4 linked regions of the Macaca mulatta genome follow. The protein of the gene in region 1 interacts with the protein of each later gene in a pairwise test. Links are inferred from orthologs where the notes say so. Each region holds a gene or a part of one and is shown in the gene's direction. Other genes may lie near its edges. The genes, in order: ESRRG, DEUP1, PNRC2 and NR0B1.

The links.
Region 2: the proteins of ESRRG (region 1) and DEUP1 interact in binary tests that used the Homo sapiens proteins (3 or more experiments, as listed by UniProt). The two-hybrid records come from large-scale screens. The link is inferred for Macaca mulatta from reciprocal best matches to the Homo sapiens genes ESRRG and DEUP1.
Region 3: the proteins of ESRRG (region 1) and PNRC2 interact in binary tests that used the Homo sapiens proteins (3 or more experiments, as listed by UniProt). The link is inferred for Macaca mulatta from reciprocal best matches to the Homo sapiens genes ESRRG and PNRC2.
Region 4: the proteins of ESRRG (region 1) and NR0B1 interact in binary tests that used the Homo sapiens proteins (3 or more experiments, as listed by UniProt). The link is inferred for Macaca mulatta from reciprocal best matches to the Homo sapiens genes ESRRG and NR0B1.

Annotation. Positions count from the first base shown.
Region 1 is NC_133406.1:74,447,707-74,452,012, reverse strand, and holds the start of ESRRG (estrogen-related receptor gamma), read left to right. Parts: upstream 1-1,497; 5' UTR 1,498-1,909; coding exon 1,910-1,965; intron 1,966-4,306. UniProt on the Homo sapiens protein: Orphan receptor that acts as a transcription activator in the absence of bound ligand. Binds specifically to an estrogen response element and activates reporter genes controlled by estrogen response elements.
Region 2 is NC_133419.1:94,265,804-94,268,667, forward strand, and holds the end of DEUP1 (deuterosome assembly protein 1), read left to right. Parts: intron 1-1,916; coding exon 1,917-2,093; 3' UTR 2,094-2,330; downstream 2,331-2,864. UniProt on the Homo sapiens protein: Key structural component of the deuterosome, a structure that promotes de novo centriole amplification in multiciliated cells.
Region 3 is NC_133406.1:217,017,843-217,022,012, reverse strand, and holds the start of PNRC2 (proline-rich nuclear receptor coactivator 2), read left to right. Parts: upstream 1-1,307; 5' UTR 1,308-1,478; intron 1,479-2,384; 5' UTR 2,385-2,590; intron 2,591-2,888; 5' UTR 2,889-2,906; coding exon 2,907-3,326; 3' UTR 3,327-4,170. UniProt on the Homo sapiens protein: Involved in nonsense-mediated mRNA decay (NMD) by acting as a bridge between the mRNA decapping complex and the NMD machinery. May act by targeting the NMD machinery to the P-body and recruiting the decapping machinery to aberrant mRNAs.
Region 4 is NC_133426.1:30,164,131-30,168,385, reverse strand, and holds the start of NR0B1 (nuclear receptor subfamily 0 group B member 1), read left to right. Parts: upstream 1-1,400; 5' UTR 1,401-1,410; coding exon 1,411-2,578; intron 2,579-4,255. UniProt on the Homo sapiens protein: Nuclear receptor that lacks a DNA-binding domain and acts as a corepressor that inhibits the transcriptional activity of other nuclear receptors through heterodimeric interactions.

The DNA of each region.
Region 1 (4,306 bases):
GCCTATATCTTAGATATAGCTAAATACAAGGCAGTGAAATTGCTTTCTTCTGTGGGGGGACCAAATCATGTCTGTCATTTTTATATTCTGAATTTTAATGTGGCTGCTCTATTTTAGTGTTTTGTTTTTTTTAAGACCTAGAAAATTTGAGAGGGTTGAGGGAGTTGAGTCCTAATTTAGTGAATTTAACACACGATGAATATCTGAACTAATTTATTTTGATCTCAAAGATTATCCTATTTCTATCATGTAGGACTTAAGACATAAAAGGTTGATAAGCAGTAGAGCTGAATTATATCAAAATTGTGGGTTTTTCACTCTCCATAAGGTAGCAGTTATCTCTTCGCCATAAATAGCTGGTATCTATTCCAATGTACATTTGCTAGTATAAAAAAATCCTGTAGATTAAAATAGGACCTAAGCAAACTCTTTGTTATATGGAAATTAAAGACACGGTATACACAATTAAAGGAGGAAAAAACACACTTGTCCTCTTATATCCTCCTTTTATTTATTTATTTTTTGAACACTTTTGATTGAGAATTCTTAGTTTTGTAAATTATTATCTGTTTGAAACTAGTTCTTATAGTGACCAGACTGTGTGATGGTTTATAAAATGTTTCTGGGTTTATTTTTTTAAAGCATATAGGGTGCCTTATGTATAGAAACAAATATGTACACGGTGTTTTATTTGAAAGCAGGATGTTTTGGGTAAAATCATATATATAATTATATGCCTCCTAGTTTGGAAGCTTGTACTGAAATATATACAAATAATTAAGAATACTTTTAGTGCACTGTTTAGTAATGCTCTCCCTACAAAAAAAAAAAAAAAAAAATGCTCTCTTTATTTTGTCAAAATGCATTGAGAGAGATTTAATTCGCTATTTACCCCCACAACCCTCAGTCTCCCCACCCCTAAAACTGAAGAAGCCAATTTGTCCTGCGGTTGTTTACCTTTGTTTTGAAAAGCTATGCGTTGTATCTACACGTAAAGAGACAGTCGCAGGTATAGAAAGGTTTACACATATAATTTACTTAGGCATTCTCTCAAATTGTATTGTCACTGTTTCCTCTTCTGTAGTTGTGTAAAACTGCATTCCACCTCAGAGATGACGATCCCAGTTCACATGCTCAAACAATTTAGAAGAATGTCTTTATTATTATTATTTTTAATGCCCAGCATACATCAGGAAAACAGGAAAAGACATGATTAGGAATACATGAGAAAGTACAGCACCAAATAAACAGCAGCCCCCGGTGTAATCAAAACACAGACAACGGCAGGACAAACTTAATTCTCTACCTTCCGCAGAATCCTTTCCCAAATTAACTGAGAGTCTGCGTGAGTTCTCCTTTTCAAGGCAAAAGAGATCTTAGGTTAGAAATCAAAGGCAAATCCCTCCAGTGCTTAGAGAGTTAAGTTAGTTATGTTTCTTTTGTAGCTTCCCAGAAGAAAAAAAAAAGAGAGAGAGAGAGAGAAGGGAGGAAAAAAAAAAATCAAACCCGAGAGTGTGTATTGGGAGCGTTTCAACCGCTCCCTTCTCCGCTCCCTTTTTCTCTGCCCACTCTCAGTTTCCAGCCCCCTTCGGCTCTCTGCACCCTGCCTACCTGCCTGGCTCCTCTCGCTCCGTGCAGCCTCCCGTCGCCTCCCTCCTGATTGGGCAGAGGCCCCCCAATCGGCTGCGCGGCTGGGCCGGTGGGACTGCATATGTAAAGCCCTACTTCATATTAATAAGCTCCAATCGGGGCTTTAAGTCCTTGATTAGGAGAGTGTGAGAGCTTTGGTCCCAACTGGCTGTGCCTATAGGCTTGTCACTAGGAGAACATTTGTGTTAATTGCACTGTGCTCTGTCAAGGAAACTTTGATTTATAGCTGGGGTGCACAAATAATGGTTGCCGGTCGCACATGGATTCGGTAGAACTTTGCCTTCCTGAATCTTTTCCCCTGCACTACGAGGAAGAGTAGGTACCTTTTTTCTTTCCTTTTTAAACTCGTCGTGGGGGTGCGGGGGTGGGGGCGGACAGACTGTATCTTTACACACTGATTCAGGTAATGCCCTGGGTATTTTGTGTGCACGAGTGCTTGTTTGTGTCTGTCTGTGTCTTTTGTGTTGAGGGTGATCTCCTAATTCAGTAAGTCGAGAATTGTTCTCTGACTACAATGTTACCTTTGAGGCAAAGCTCAGTGACTGTCAGTAAAACAGCTGTGTGACAGTCACTTCTTATTCAGGTGCTAAGAATAGGCACTTGGCACAAATGCTTAGTGAACTGTTAAAATGCATCTTTTACTAGGACCCATTTTCCCAAGGAAAGATGTTTTAAAATACAATATTCAAAATGATTTATACTATTGAGTGCCTCTTATGTATTTGCAGTTTGACAGATATTTTCAGCTCCTTGTCATTTCTTACCGCGCAGAGTTAGAGGCAAAATTGCACATTTACTAATTCTCCTTCAGAGAACAATTTAAAAACTAGCCCTATGCAATTCTGAGCTAGAATAATGTTATTTGCATGGTTAGCGTTAAGTCAGCACTTAACTGACAAATCAGTCCATTAGGTAACATGAGATTTTCACACATTATAAATATTTAAGGGGGGGAAAAAAAACTAAAGAAGAAACAGTAGTGACTTAAAAATTTTCCTCTTAAATAAACTCTGTTCAGAGTGTGGATTTGTCTCATTTATTGTGTCCAGAAAATATAGAAAAGTACTTTCGTTCTTACATGCAGTTTAATTAGTATTTATGAATATCTTTATGCACATGGAAATATATATTTAGATTACTAAAGGAGGGGAGTGCGTAGGGGGTACGAGAAGTAAATTAGGCATTTTTGTGTAAATGAGTAGGTCATAAACTTAATTTCAACCTACTGTTAAGATAAAATATTAGTATATCACCAGAGCTGTCACTGGTTTATCTCCCTTTCTGTTGAGTCAGTTATATTGCTTTGCTTTCACATTACAGTAATACCAACTGTTATAATTCTGAAAAGAGTGCCCTTGGCAAACATTTTTCTCTATAGATTGTGAAGAAAATATCAAACTCTAGAAGATGAGGTAGTGCATTATAGGTAGATGTCCACTAGCTGTCCTTAGTGACTGCATATTGCATTGCTTTGTAATTAAGAGATGAAAAGTGACTTGCAGTCTCAGTGGCTGCTCCTGTATGTTTGAGCGTGAGTGTGAGTGTGTGTGTATATGCACGCTCACACATGCACATCCACCCACGTCCACGCTCACACAGGGAATATTAGCCAAGAGATGGATTTAGGAGGAACTGAAAGATTATAAGGCTGTGCTTGCATCAGTTTGAAACACTCAAGGGAAGAAACAACTTTAAGATGTGTAAAAATAAAAATGAAAAATAAACAAAGGTAGGACTGCCCATTCAAGTGTAGTTTGAAGGTTAGTGTACTTCGGGCTGTAGAATTGGAGAGTTTAAGATGTCCTCGTGTCAGGAAGAATGTCTTATCCAAGCACGCCCAGATTCTGAACTTTGTCTTGTAAATAAATAAAGAAAACAAACTTTTAAAATCCCCCAGAGCCTTCTTTTTGAAGTAGTTTCCTTGAATTTAACTTCTTATAGCTAATTTGAATAATTCGTTTAGATAAGCCTCTTAAAGCAGATGCATTTAAATGAAATCAAGGCACATGTCCTTTTGGCTTTGGCGCAAGATTCAAACTAGCTTTCTTTTGGGCTCAATTAAAAGTCATCTTTAAAAAATACAGATTTATTGTCTGCCTGCAGTTCTGATGGTTACGTGGTTCACTGGACAGACAGAAAGATCTAACGCTAAGCAACGCATCTGCCTCTCTGTCTCAATTAATAAACCACAGAATTTATACATGCTATTAATATTCATAGTAATTGTACTGGGTTAAACCCCATCACGTGTGTGTATACACAGAAATGAAACCAGAGTTACACAGTTTTAGAGGAAAATATTGGACAGTTTCTGCTTTGGAGGTGGTTAAAAAGATTCATACAATTTATTGACCACCATTAAGAGAGCTTAAAATGTTAACCTCTAACTATGTATTTTTTTATTTTAGGAAATGTGCCAGCACATTAAAGAACATAATACTTGAAAGCTTGTTTCACATTTAATAGCAGTAATAGCTGATAGCATAAATAGATGAAAATAATATATCTGCTCATTTTGACATATGTGTCAGTCTAATCATTCTAAATGAGTGTGCTCATCACATGAATCCCTTTCAACCTCTGATTAAAATGTAACATTGACTACAGGATTATAGAGCGGACTTAATTTTACTGACTGTTTTAACAGTTGTCACAG
Region 2 (2,864 bases), on another chromosome or scaffold:
TGAAAGGGGAAACCATGGTATTGGTATGATGCATAATTCCCACTGAGGTAGCCAAAGACAGAGGATGGATTAAATCATCCTACTTGCTGGATGCTCTGTCTCAACCAGGACTCAACAGCATGACGAGAATTGTCTTGCAAATAGTATATAGGTTTCGGCTACAGATGGCATAGTCTTGTTTCAAAATCTTAAGGGTCTGTGATACAGCTTTCCCACTGAAACTTTCCAGAGGCTCCACAACGCATTTTCCTCTACCAGAGATTCTTCCAGTATGGGATCTACCAAGTCATTTGACCAAAGTAGCAGGACTGCTTGTACCCTATCCTGAACCTACTACACAGCTCTTTCTTTCTAGAGTTCTGGGCTTGCTCAAAAAAAATTGTTTTCTGTGTTGCCCAATAAATGAATCTGATTATTCAATTATTTGATCCAAGGGTGGAACATTTTCAAGGTGCATTAATTTTTGCTTTACCTAGGATGTTCTGACATGCCCCATAGCAGCAGACACCTAAAAACAACGTGACAAGCCCCAATCTTTTACAGGGTTTATCTTTCACCCTCTGGCGTACTTGCATCTTTCCATCCCTTTAATATACTTGCTACTTCTTGCTCATCAAGTCTCATTAACATGATGTTAGTGTTAATATATGATGTTCCATGTGATAGTCTTTGGAATGTCCAGATGGGCTAGGCCCCTTCAGAATTTATTGTGACAGCTTCATTAATATAACATTGGGGCAAAACCATGGATAAATACTGTTGGCCACCCCATGTGAATGCTAACTGCTTCCTATCCTCCTTTTTATTAGATATTAAAAAGAATGCATTTGCTGATATTAAAAAGAAACCATTTGCCAGATCAATAGTAGCATACCATCTACCTCAGGCTGTGACAGTCTTCTCTAGCAGAGATACTATCCCTGACACAGCAGCTACAGTTGGGGGCTACTAGTTGGAAAAGTGTGCAGTACTCCATCATTTGCATGATCCCTAGTTTTGGCAGGGGCCAGATTGGTAAACAAAATCCACCTATAACAAGGTTCACATGTATACAGATTGTCAACTCCCCAAACACTACATAAAGTCCCATTTTTCCTACCAAAATGAAAGTCAAAGAAGAATATAGTAACCACAGAACTGGAAAATTAAAGTACAAATTTCCCCAACTAAAAAAAAAATTACTTAATTTTTGTATGTGGCTTTTTAAAATGAAGAATTGTAAAATTATCTGATGTTGTCCTTTATTCCTTAGCTACAGATTTTTATTTTTACTTTTTGTAACTAAGCACTAAACAGGTCACAAACAGTTAAATAGCATTTTCATGTCACCATGAAGGCTGGAATTGGGGCACTCATCCCTGATACTTTCTTCTCTATGATGAGACAAACAAGATACATGCCAGCATCACAGCCCTCCCTACTAGGGAGCCACCTCCACCCCAAGACACATCATGCAGCCAGCCTTCTCACCTGGCTAACTCCAAGCATTGATTCGCCCTGTCAAAGCCAATCCTTATTTTCTATATAAACCTTCTGGTGCAATTCCACTATAATCTTTACTTTCACTTTTTGAGTTGCCTATTTTCAAATGAAAATCACTGGCTTTGCAAATGATTGCAGCATGTTTTAGGCAGGTTCCATGGTGAGTGCATTGTCCCTGCATTTGCGGTTGGACAATCTAATACTCATTTCTAGAGCTTTTTAATGTAATGGTGCTGTGATGTCTTACTTAGTTCCTTGAAGATTTCATTACTGGTAACTGAATTACACTAGTAGTAGGAATTCAGCCCAAGATGTGTTCTTTAATTAAGAGCTGCAGTGTTTGACAGTATGTCAGGGATGAAGCATGCCTGGAAATGTGAAGATGTTTAAAAGCTCTGTATTCCTCATTCACTTTTCTTTCTTTCTCTCTTTAGTCTCCCCCAGATATGTCTTTCCCAGCATCTTTGGCTGCACAGCATTTCCTTCTGGAAGAAGAGAAACGAGCAAAAGAACTTGAAAAACTTCTAAATACACATATTGATGAACTGCAAAGACACACAGAATTTACTCTTAATAAATACTCCAAGCTAAAACAAAATAGACACATATGAGCTTTTAAACTTTTTTATTTGCTTCCCCCCCACCAAGAAAAAAAGCTCTGGCAAAATATTTACAAAGCTGATTAATGAAATCAAGAAATTCTGTTCTGTTTCCTTGAGTAAATAATTTTGGTAAGGCAGCTAGAAAATAGTAAGTATTTTGTTCAATAAAGCTGTTTGCATTTCTGCATAACATGCTAAATTGTCCTGCTGTAGAGTTACTATAAAATAAACATGACTATTCCAAAAGAGATTTTTTTTTCCAGTCTAAGGAATATGTTGGAATTAAATATGCAGTTTTTTCCTCACTTGAATCATGTATACTGAAAACCCATTTCCTCAGCAACTACACAAAATAAGGGAAAGGGAAGTGCTATATTCCAGATACAAACGACTCAAAGGCAGCTCAGTTGTACTGGTTTTGAAAACTCAAGGATTTTATAAATAAAAATATTTAAGTATTTCCAGTTATGTAAACACTCTAAAATTCTACAATTTTTTGAAAAAAAAAAAAAAAAGCTATAGCTTTACTGTTTTTACATTCACCTTTATAATGTCTGTCTGTTTCAACACAATGAAGGTACATGGAATGTGCAATTTACAAACCTAAACTATATGTGCCAAAAATTAACGCTTTTTTGTTAGTACTAATTACTTCACGGACACGAACAAGATAAAGGAAATATGAAGCATTACTGTTGCTACATTTTTCTTTGTAATCACCTCTGTTTTTAATGCAATGAAGGAATGTAAAATTCAATGGACTTGAAGCATAAATGCTAA
Region 3 (4,170 bases), about 140 Mb from region 1:
AAATACAAAAATTAGCAGGGTGTGTTGGCGGGCGCCTGTAATCCCTGCTACTCAGGAGGCTGAGGCAGGAGAATCGCTTGAGCCCAGGAGGCGCAGGTTGCAGTGAGCCGAGATTGTGCCACTGCACTCCAGCCTGGGCGACAGTGCGAGACTCCGTTTCAAAAATAAACGACAAATTACATGAGATTTATAAGAAGTTGGTAAATACAAATTATTTAATGTAAACTTACGTATGTATGTATCCATGTGTATACACGAACAAACTGGGAATGTAATGAGACTTGATTTTGTACCGTTTATCCCAGAATTATTCACGCTCATTGAAATTAGTGTTCTCTTTTAAAAGATTCACACTGGGTTGCTCACACACGTACTCCAAAGAAATTGCCATTTTCCCCTTACCTGCATCTGGCTGGCATAATCAACTAAACAATATTCTCTTTCTTTCCTTTTTTTCACTTACAAGTGGGGCAAAAAGGGGAAGGGAGCAGCCCTCATTCTCTCAGCAAACTTACTGTGCACTTACCACGCGCGAAGGCGCTGCGGTCAGAGAAACAAAACCTAACCGGTTGTGGCCCTCGAGGGTGTGTGGGTGGGGAGAGCTGCTGCCACAGGAAACTGTAACACGGCGCGTTAAGGGCTCTAACTGAACTTAAGGGCCAATGGGGCCACCAAGCAGGAAGTGACTGACTTGCCCGCGTGTGTCTGAACCGCCTTCACACGGAGGCAACTTTTGAGTAACTGCGGGGCTGGAGGGTGGGGGGCACCGGAGGGAACCGCAGGGACGCGCCGACTTCGGATGCGGAGTTGTGAATGTGGGAGAGAGGCGACCCAGAAGTCGAGGCCCGAGGCGGGCGGGGGCTGGGCCCTGGCAAGCGGCTTTCTGGAGTATCCTCCATCTGTCAATACAGGCTACGCGACTCAGTGGCCCTAATTCGAGAGCCAAACGTCCCCCGCCGGTCAGTCTTTTCCCTCAGGGCAGTCCCAAGGGCAGCGAGCCCGCGCGCACGAGCCGAGCGGGAGGAAGAGCCGAGAGCTAGCGGCCGGGGCCTTGGGGGGCCAGGGGCGCGGGGAGGCCGCGGTGGTAAGGCCGTGAACACCGGCGGACCGGGCAGTTACTCCCGGCATGCTCCTCCTCCCCGGGCGGATTTCAAACCCTCGGCAGCCCCACCTCCCCGCCTTCGCCCCCGGCCTGCCCCAGCAACAGGCGGCGGCCCGCTTCTCATTGGCCAGGCCTGCGCTGTCGTGTTTTGATTGGCCGCGGAGCCGCCCGGCCCTGCTTCTGCGGTCGCCGCCGACTCCATTTTGTCGGTAGAGGCAGAAGGAGGAGGTTGGGTTGTAGAAGCTAGGGTGACCGGCAGCTCGCTCATCGGTGTTCGTGGGCTTTGTCGGTCCGTGCCTCGTCTCTCCCTGGAAAGGGAGGGAGGCTTCGACGTCGAGAGGGAGCCACTGCCGCCGTAGTTCCGAGCTTGAAGTCGGTAAGTAGCGGCTGTGCAGCGGGCGCGGCCATGTTGGTGGCTGCGCTCCCCATTGTTGGGGGAAGGAGGCGAGCGGAGGCGAGATCCGGGCGGGCGCGGGCGGTCGCAGCGCCCCGACCCCTGCGGCTCCGGAGAGATGGGGCCACTGGGAAGCCAAGCCTGTGTGGCGTCGGAGGCGGCGAGTTTTCCGAGTTCGAGTTGTGAATGACTCACAGTCCGGAAATGGCAATTTATTTAGGGTGGTTTATCTGTTTGGAAGGCTCTCTTACCCCTTTGAAAGGAGGGGGCTTAACTATTTGGTAACTTATTTTCTTGGAACATCAAATTAAAACCAAACCTTGAATGTTGAGCTGTTCCCTCTAGGGAGACATTTTTATAGATTTAAGATGGGCTTAGAGTGTTAGGGCTTGTGAGAACTTATTTTAAGACGGGGAGGAGGCGAGGGTGTTCACAACCAAAGGAAACACTGCGTGATGTCTACATGTTCCAAGAGACTGAAAATGGATGTGACGTGTGTGGAAAGATTGGAAAATTCTGGTGGGAGTTTAAAAACACGGTCTCTTTTGAAAATCCGCCTGAAGCCAATTTTTTGATGACTCTTAACATTTTAACACTCGTTATTTGATTTTATACGTGAGAGAATCTGAAGATCTTTCCCAGGAAAAAGATAAAAACAAAACTTACTGCGGGACTTCGAGACATTTCCAAAAATTCCCCAGGAGTGACTGGGTCTCAAGGGTGAAGAGTTTTTAAATGATCGTGGTTATGAGGTCAAAGCCATCTTAAATTTTCTACCTTTTAGTTCAGGAAGTAGCCTTCTTTACAGTCAACGATTTTTGTAGTAAATCTAAATGATCACTTTCTCAACGTGTTTTTGAAATAATGAAGTAATCTTTACTTTTCTAGCTAGGACTTCTCTCAAACTTGTGTGCTGAGGAGACTCAGATGTTGGCCTCAGCTCCTAGGCTGAACTCAGCAGATCGGCCCATGAAAACTTCTGTATTGAGACAAAGGAAAGGATCTGTCAGAAAGCAACACTTGTTATCTTGGGCTTGGCAGCAAGGAAGAGGACAGGTAGTGGAGATCCTGCAATCTGAAAAGCAGACTGAAAGGTAATCATCATAATGGGCAAACATTTTATGATGGAGCCATCCTAAACCAATTGTTTTTATTTTAAAATAGATTATGCTGATTTGTGGGTAAGCTCATTTTTCTTAGAGACGGTATAATAATAAAGGTTGTGCATATATTGGAGTCTAAACAGCTTGCTTTTTTAATTTAAAGCAGCTGAATAGCCTATTACTGAGTCTTGTTCAAAATATCTGGAGTTATAAGTTGGAGCCATAGAAGCTTTTTACAGATTTGAACTTAATGGAATTTTACTCAATATTTGTTTCCATTCACTTGTAGGTGACAAAGAAGCTGAAGATGGGTGGTGGAGAGCGGTATAACATTCCAGCCCCTCAATCTAGAAATGTTAGTAAGAACCAACAACAGCTTAACAGACAGAAGACCAAGGATCAGAATTCCCAGATGAAGATTGTTCATAAGAAAAAAGAAAGAGGACATGGTTATAACTCATCAGCAGCTGCTTGGCAGGCTATGCAAAGTGGGGGGAAGAACAAAAATTTTCCAAATAATCAGAGTTGGAATTCTAGCTTATCAGGTCCCAGCTTACTTTTTAAATCTCAAGCTAATCAGAACTATGCTGGTGCCAAATTTAGTGAGCCACCATCACCAAGTGTTCTTCCCAAACCACCAAGCCACTGGGTCCCTGTTTCCTTTAATCCTTCAGATAAGGAAATAATGACATTTCAACTTAAAACCTTACTTAAAGTACAGGTATAAAGTAAGACAAATGTTAAAATTATGTTCGCGGGTAGTTGTCAATTGGTCTGAAACATTCGCTAAGGAATTAATCTATTTGTGTAGAACTGCTAATTAATGTAAAAAAAATAGACGATCTTGTGTGCACTGTGATACAATGGTAGTATCAGTGCAACTTAAACTAATGGTATTTGATATTAAGTGTTCTCAACTGAGTAACTTTTAAGTGGAAACCAAGTTTAGATTTGGGGAGTGGTAAAGGAATCAGCTTTTTCTATTGTTAGGGGAAGATAGTAATTTATCATTCATGGAGTAGATTGTTGAAAGTTGGTGAATCAGATTATAAGCTTCAAGCTAACACAAGGATTCAGAATTAGGTAAACATCTGAAAGTTTAGTATATTAGAAACACCCAAACCAGTAATATGCTAACAACCTGATGCACTGCTGAAAGAAAATGTGAATTTTTTGTAATAATTGCATTTTAGTGAATTGTACAGTGGGTGGAAAGGGCATTTGGAGCTCATTAGAATGAGACATAGTACATCCCAATGGCCCTGTTTATTAAATATAGTGGATTAAGTGTCAACAAATACACCAAAACCATTTTTTATAGAAACAGTATTTAATGGTCACTCAATAGCTTTCAAAATACATTTTTGTATTACAGCACTGCACAAGCTATTCTAATAGTGATCTGGCCTCATCATTCCTGCAAAGCTTGCTTTGGGGAGTTGGATAATGTGAAAATTTTAAGTACCTAGGGGAGAAAGAGCCATGTACATATCTGTAATAAACTTGTAGCATATGTAAAGTTTTATTGGCCTTTATCTTACAAAAATGGAATATTTTAGTATGAATTTGCT
Region 4 (4,255 bases), on another chromosome or scaffold:
GAAGGAAGGAAGGAAAAAAGCAAAAACAGAAAGAGGGAGGATGGGAGGGAGGGAAAACGTAAAAATGATTCTACACCAGCTGGTATATACCAATACCCTTCCCTGCCCCATGTCTTCACAGCTGTGTGGCAAGTGAAGACCAATGGATCCAGGCTTCCTGATGCTTGTATTTATCATGATTCACTTAGGAAGGGTGGGGAAAGAAATGCTAATTACACACTTACCAATGGAATACTTTTACAAGGATCAAAATTTCTCGCTGCAGCCATGAAAAAGAATGAGAGCTGGCGGCCATTATCCTTAGCGAAATAACGCGGAAACAGAAAACCAAATTATCACATGTTCTCACTTGTAAGTGGGAGCTAAATAAAGAGATCACATGGACACTAGGAGGGGAACAACAGACACTGGAACCTACTTGAAGGTGGAGGGTGGGAAGAGGGAGAGAATGAGAAAAAATACCTATTGAATACTATATTACCTGGGTGACGAAATAATCTGTACACCAAACCCCCGCGACAAGCAATTGACTTATATAACAACCCTGACATATACTCCTGAACCTAAAAGTTAAAAGAAAAAAAAAACAAACCATATACTAAAATGAAAACGATTCTCACTGTAACAATATTATCCCCTCGTGATTATTATATTCCTAAGTTTTAGGCACTTTTACATCCTGCTCGCTGCCCCCAGCTCTCTTAACACAGCATCCAGGACATAGTGGGCGCTTATAAATACTGATGGAATTAAACTGAGCGCTTATGCTAGCATATTTAGACCAGTGCTTTTCAAACGTCAAGGTGCATGTGAATCCCTGGGGACACCGTTAAAATGCAGATTCAGAGTTAGAAAGTCTGGTTGGAGCCTGACATTGGGCATTTCCACCGAGTTCCCATATGATGTTTGTCTATGTTCTGTATTTTTCAAGGTCTCAGAAAATGAGACCTCCCTATCCATATACAAATATGAGTCTCACAAACTGTGAAAATTTAATGAAAGTTTACAAAGAGCATAGAAGTAGATGTTTCCTCTTTTCCCCTACCCTCCCAATAAAGGGAACAAATTAGATGCGAGGGTTCAATGGAAAGAGTTGCAACAGCATCCAGGCGCTCGCTCTCCTCCGGTCTTCCTGAGAGACAGGGAAAGGGGTAATGAGAAGAAGGAGGGAAGTGTCCAGGAGCTCCCACGCTGCTGTTCCTCTTCCATTTTCAGCTTTTAAAGAACACCCGCCCCTTCGAACCACCGAGGTCATGGGCGAATACACCGGAGCGCAGCACCGCGCCCCCCCTGCCCGCCTCCGCGCCCTTGCCCAGACCGAGGCGGCCGACGCGCCTGCGTGCGCGCTAGGTATAAATAGGTCCCAGGAGGCAGCCACTGGGCAGAACCGGGCTGCAGGAGCCGCGGGCCATGGCGGGCGAGAACCACCAGTGGCAGGGCAGCATCCTCTACAACATGCTTATGAGCGCGAAGCAAACGCGCGCGGCTCCTGAGGCTCCAGAGACGCGGCTGGTGGATCAGTGCTGGGGCTGTTCGTGCGGCGATGAGCCCGGGGTGGGCAGAGAGGGGCTGCTGGGCGGGCGGAACGTGTCGCTCCTGTACCGCTGCTGCTTTTGCGGTAAAGACCACCCACGGCAGGGCAGCATCCTCTACAGCATGCTCACGAGCGCAAAGCAAACGTACGCGGCACCGAAGGCGCCCGAGGCGACGCTGGGTCCGTGCTGGGGCTGTTCGTGCGGCTCTGATCCCGGGGTGGGCAGAGCGGGGCTTCCGGGTGGGCGGCCCGTGGCACTCCTGTACCGCTGCTGCTTTTGTGGTGAAGACCACCCGCGGCAGGGCAGCATCCTCTACAGCTTGCTCACTAGCGCAAAGCAAACGCACGTGGCTCCGGCAGCGCCCGAGGCACGGCCAGTGGGCGCGTGGTGGGACCGCTCCTACTTCGCGCAGAGGCCAGGGGGTAGAGAGGCGCTACCAGGCGGGCGGGCCATGGGGCTTCTGTACCGCTGCTGCTTTTGCGGTGAAGACCACCCGCAGCAGGGCAGCACCCTCTACTGCATGCCCACGAGCACAAATCAAGTGCAGGCGGCTCCGGGGGAGCGGCCGAGGGCCCCCTGGTGGGACACCTCCTCTGGTGCGCTGCGGCCAGTGGCGCTCAAGAGTCCACAGGTGGTCTGCGAGGCAGCCTCAGCTGGCCTGTTGAAGACGCTGCGCTTTGTCAAGTACTTGCCCTGCTTCCAGGTGCTGCCCCTGGACCAGCAGCTGGTGCTGGTGCGCAACTGCTGGGCGTCCCTGCTCATGCTTGAGCTGGCCCAGGACCGCTTGCAGTTCGAGACTGTAGAAGTCTCGGAGCCCAGCATGCTGCAGAAGATCCTCACCACCAGGCGGCGGGAGACCGGGGGCGACGAGCCACTGCCCGTGTCCACGCTGCAGCCCCATTTGGCACCGCCGGCGGAGGCCAGGAAGGTGCCCTCCGCCTCCCAGGTCCAAGCCATCAAGTGCTTTCTTTCCAAGTGCTGGAGTCTGAACATCAGTACCAAGGAGTACGCCTACCTCAAGGGGACCGTGCTCTTTAACCCGGGTAAGGGTACTGGCCTTGGGCGCCGGCTTTTCCCAGCTCACAAAAGCATCAGGCAGTGCCTATCTAGGGGCGCGGGCAGTAAGGAGTTTTCAGTGATCAGGAGAGTGTCGGGACAAAGGTGAAGAAATCATGACTAACTCAGCAGAGTTGGGGTGGGGGGCTCCAGGAACCACTTCTCCTGAGTGGGCTGCTGTCAGAAACTCAGCCAAGAGGAGGGGAGTTGTTTGTTTAGGTTTGTACTTAGCTCTTTACACGTTTCTTACTACAGAAAAGTTTGTGCCTTCATGGGAAATGGTTATTCTTTCTTTAGCTTTCTTTGAAGTCCAGAGCATATCTTTTTCTAAAAGTTTTTGCTCACTGAAGATTCTGCGACATCGATTTCTGAAACTCCATTCTGAAATTTACTAGAACCTTTTTTTGGGGGGAGGAGATCTATTAGGGCTAGCAAAAAAGGAAACATTTGTTAAAGGGTCCCATAGAGAGACTATTCCCTAGGGACACTGTCAGACAGTACACTGGATGTAGTGTTTCATAGGCCTGCCTCTGAATGGTTATTTGTATGGTCCTAAGCATCTGGACTATCCCTTCCTCCAAATCTCTGTGAAGAATATCAGGTTGGCAAAGGGATAAGAAAAAAAAAAAAAGTCACTTTAGGGACTGAGAGCAGGAACACTGTATTTTAGAATTCAAAGAGACTTTAGAGACCTCCTAATCAACCCCCTTTGCTCTGTAACCTTCCCCCACCGCATTTTACTGTGTAGGTGGATGTATCCCAAGGTCCCAAGTGACCTTACTCCAAAGTAAATGGCTGGTGTGTTGTGGCACCTGAGGGTCCTATCTTCTGGGCCCTGTGGGATGTCGGCTGCACCAAACTTTCAGGTTGTCTGTTGGGTGCAGGACACACTGTCCCACAGGGTGCAACCAAATCACTGGGGGAACATCTCCCTGGACAGCCAGGCACCTTGTCTTGGGTGTTTCTCTCTACTAGAATCATCTTCAACCAGCGTCCTTTTGAAATGATTGAAGTGGAAAAAAATTTTCCAGGCAACTTGAGTTGGGATAGTTTCCATAATGCTCCTTTTGTATCTTTTCCCTGGTGCTGGAATCTCTGATTATGTCCTGGCCCCCTGCCTAGCATTTTTGAGAGTGCATAATATATATAAATATATTTAATATATATATTTAATATATTTAAATTTATTATATGGGATATACAAAAGACAAACAGCAAAGAGAGGCCACAGTCTCAATAGGCGTTACCTTTCTCCCCAATATAGGTACATTTGAGTTTCAAACACACTCAGCTTAGCTGGTTAAACTCATACTGAGAAAGGATTAGGAAAAGTCAATCAAGAACAAGGAAGAAGTGTGCGTGTGTGTGTGTCTGTGTGTGTGTGTGTGTGTTAAAAGTATATAAAACAGGGTCAAGGGAAAGAGGGAAACTATTGATACTGAAACTAATGGAATGTAAATTTCTGGAAGGTGAGCCCCTTTCACCTTTATATCCCAACAGGACAAGGAACGTAGTGGATGATTAATAATACTAGCTGAAGGAATAAGAAGACTGTTTTCCAAAGTATCTTGAGAATCATCTGTGACCCTTATTATGAATGCAGATTTGCAGACACTGGGCTAGAGCTACTGAATCAGAATCTATAAGGCAGGAGCCTAGAAAGA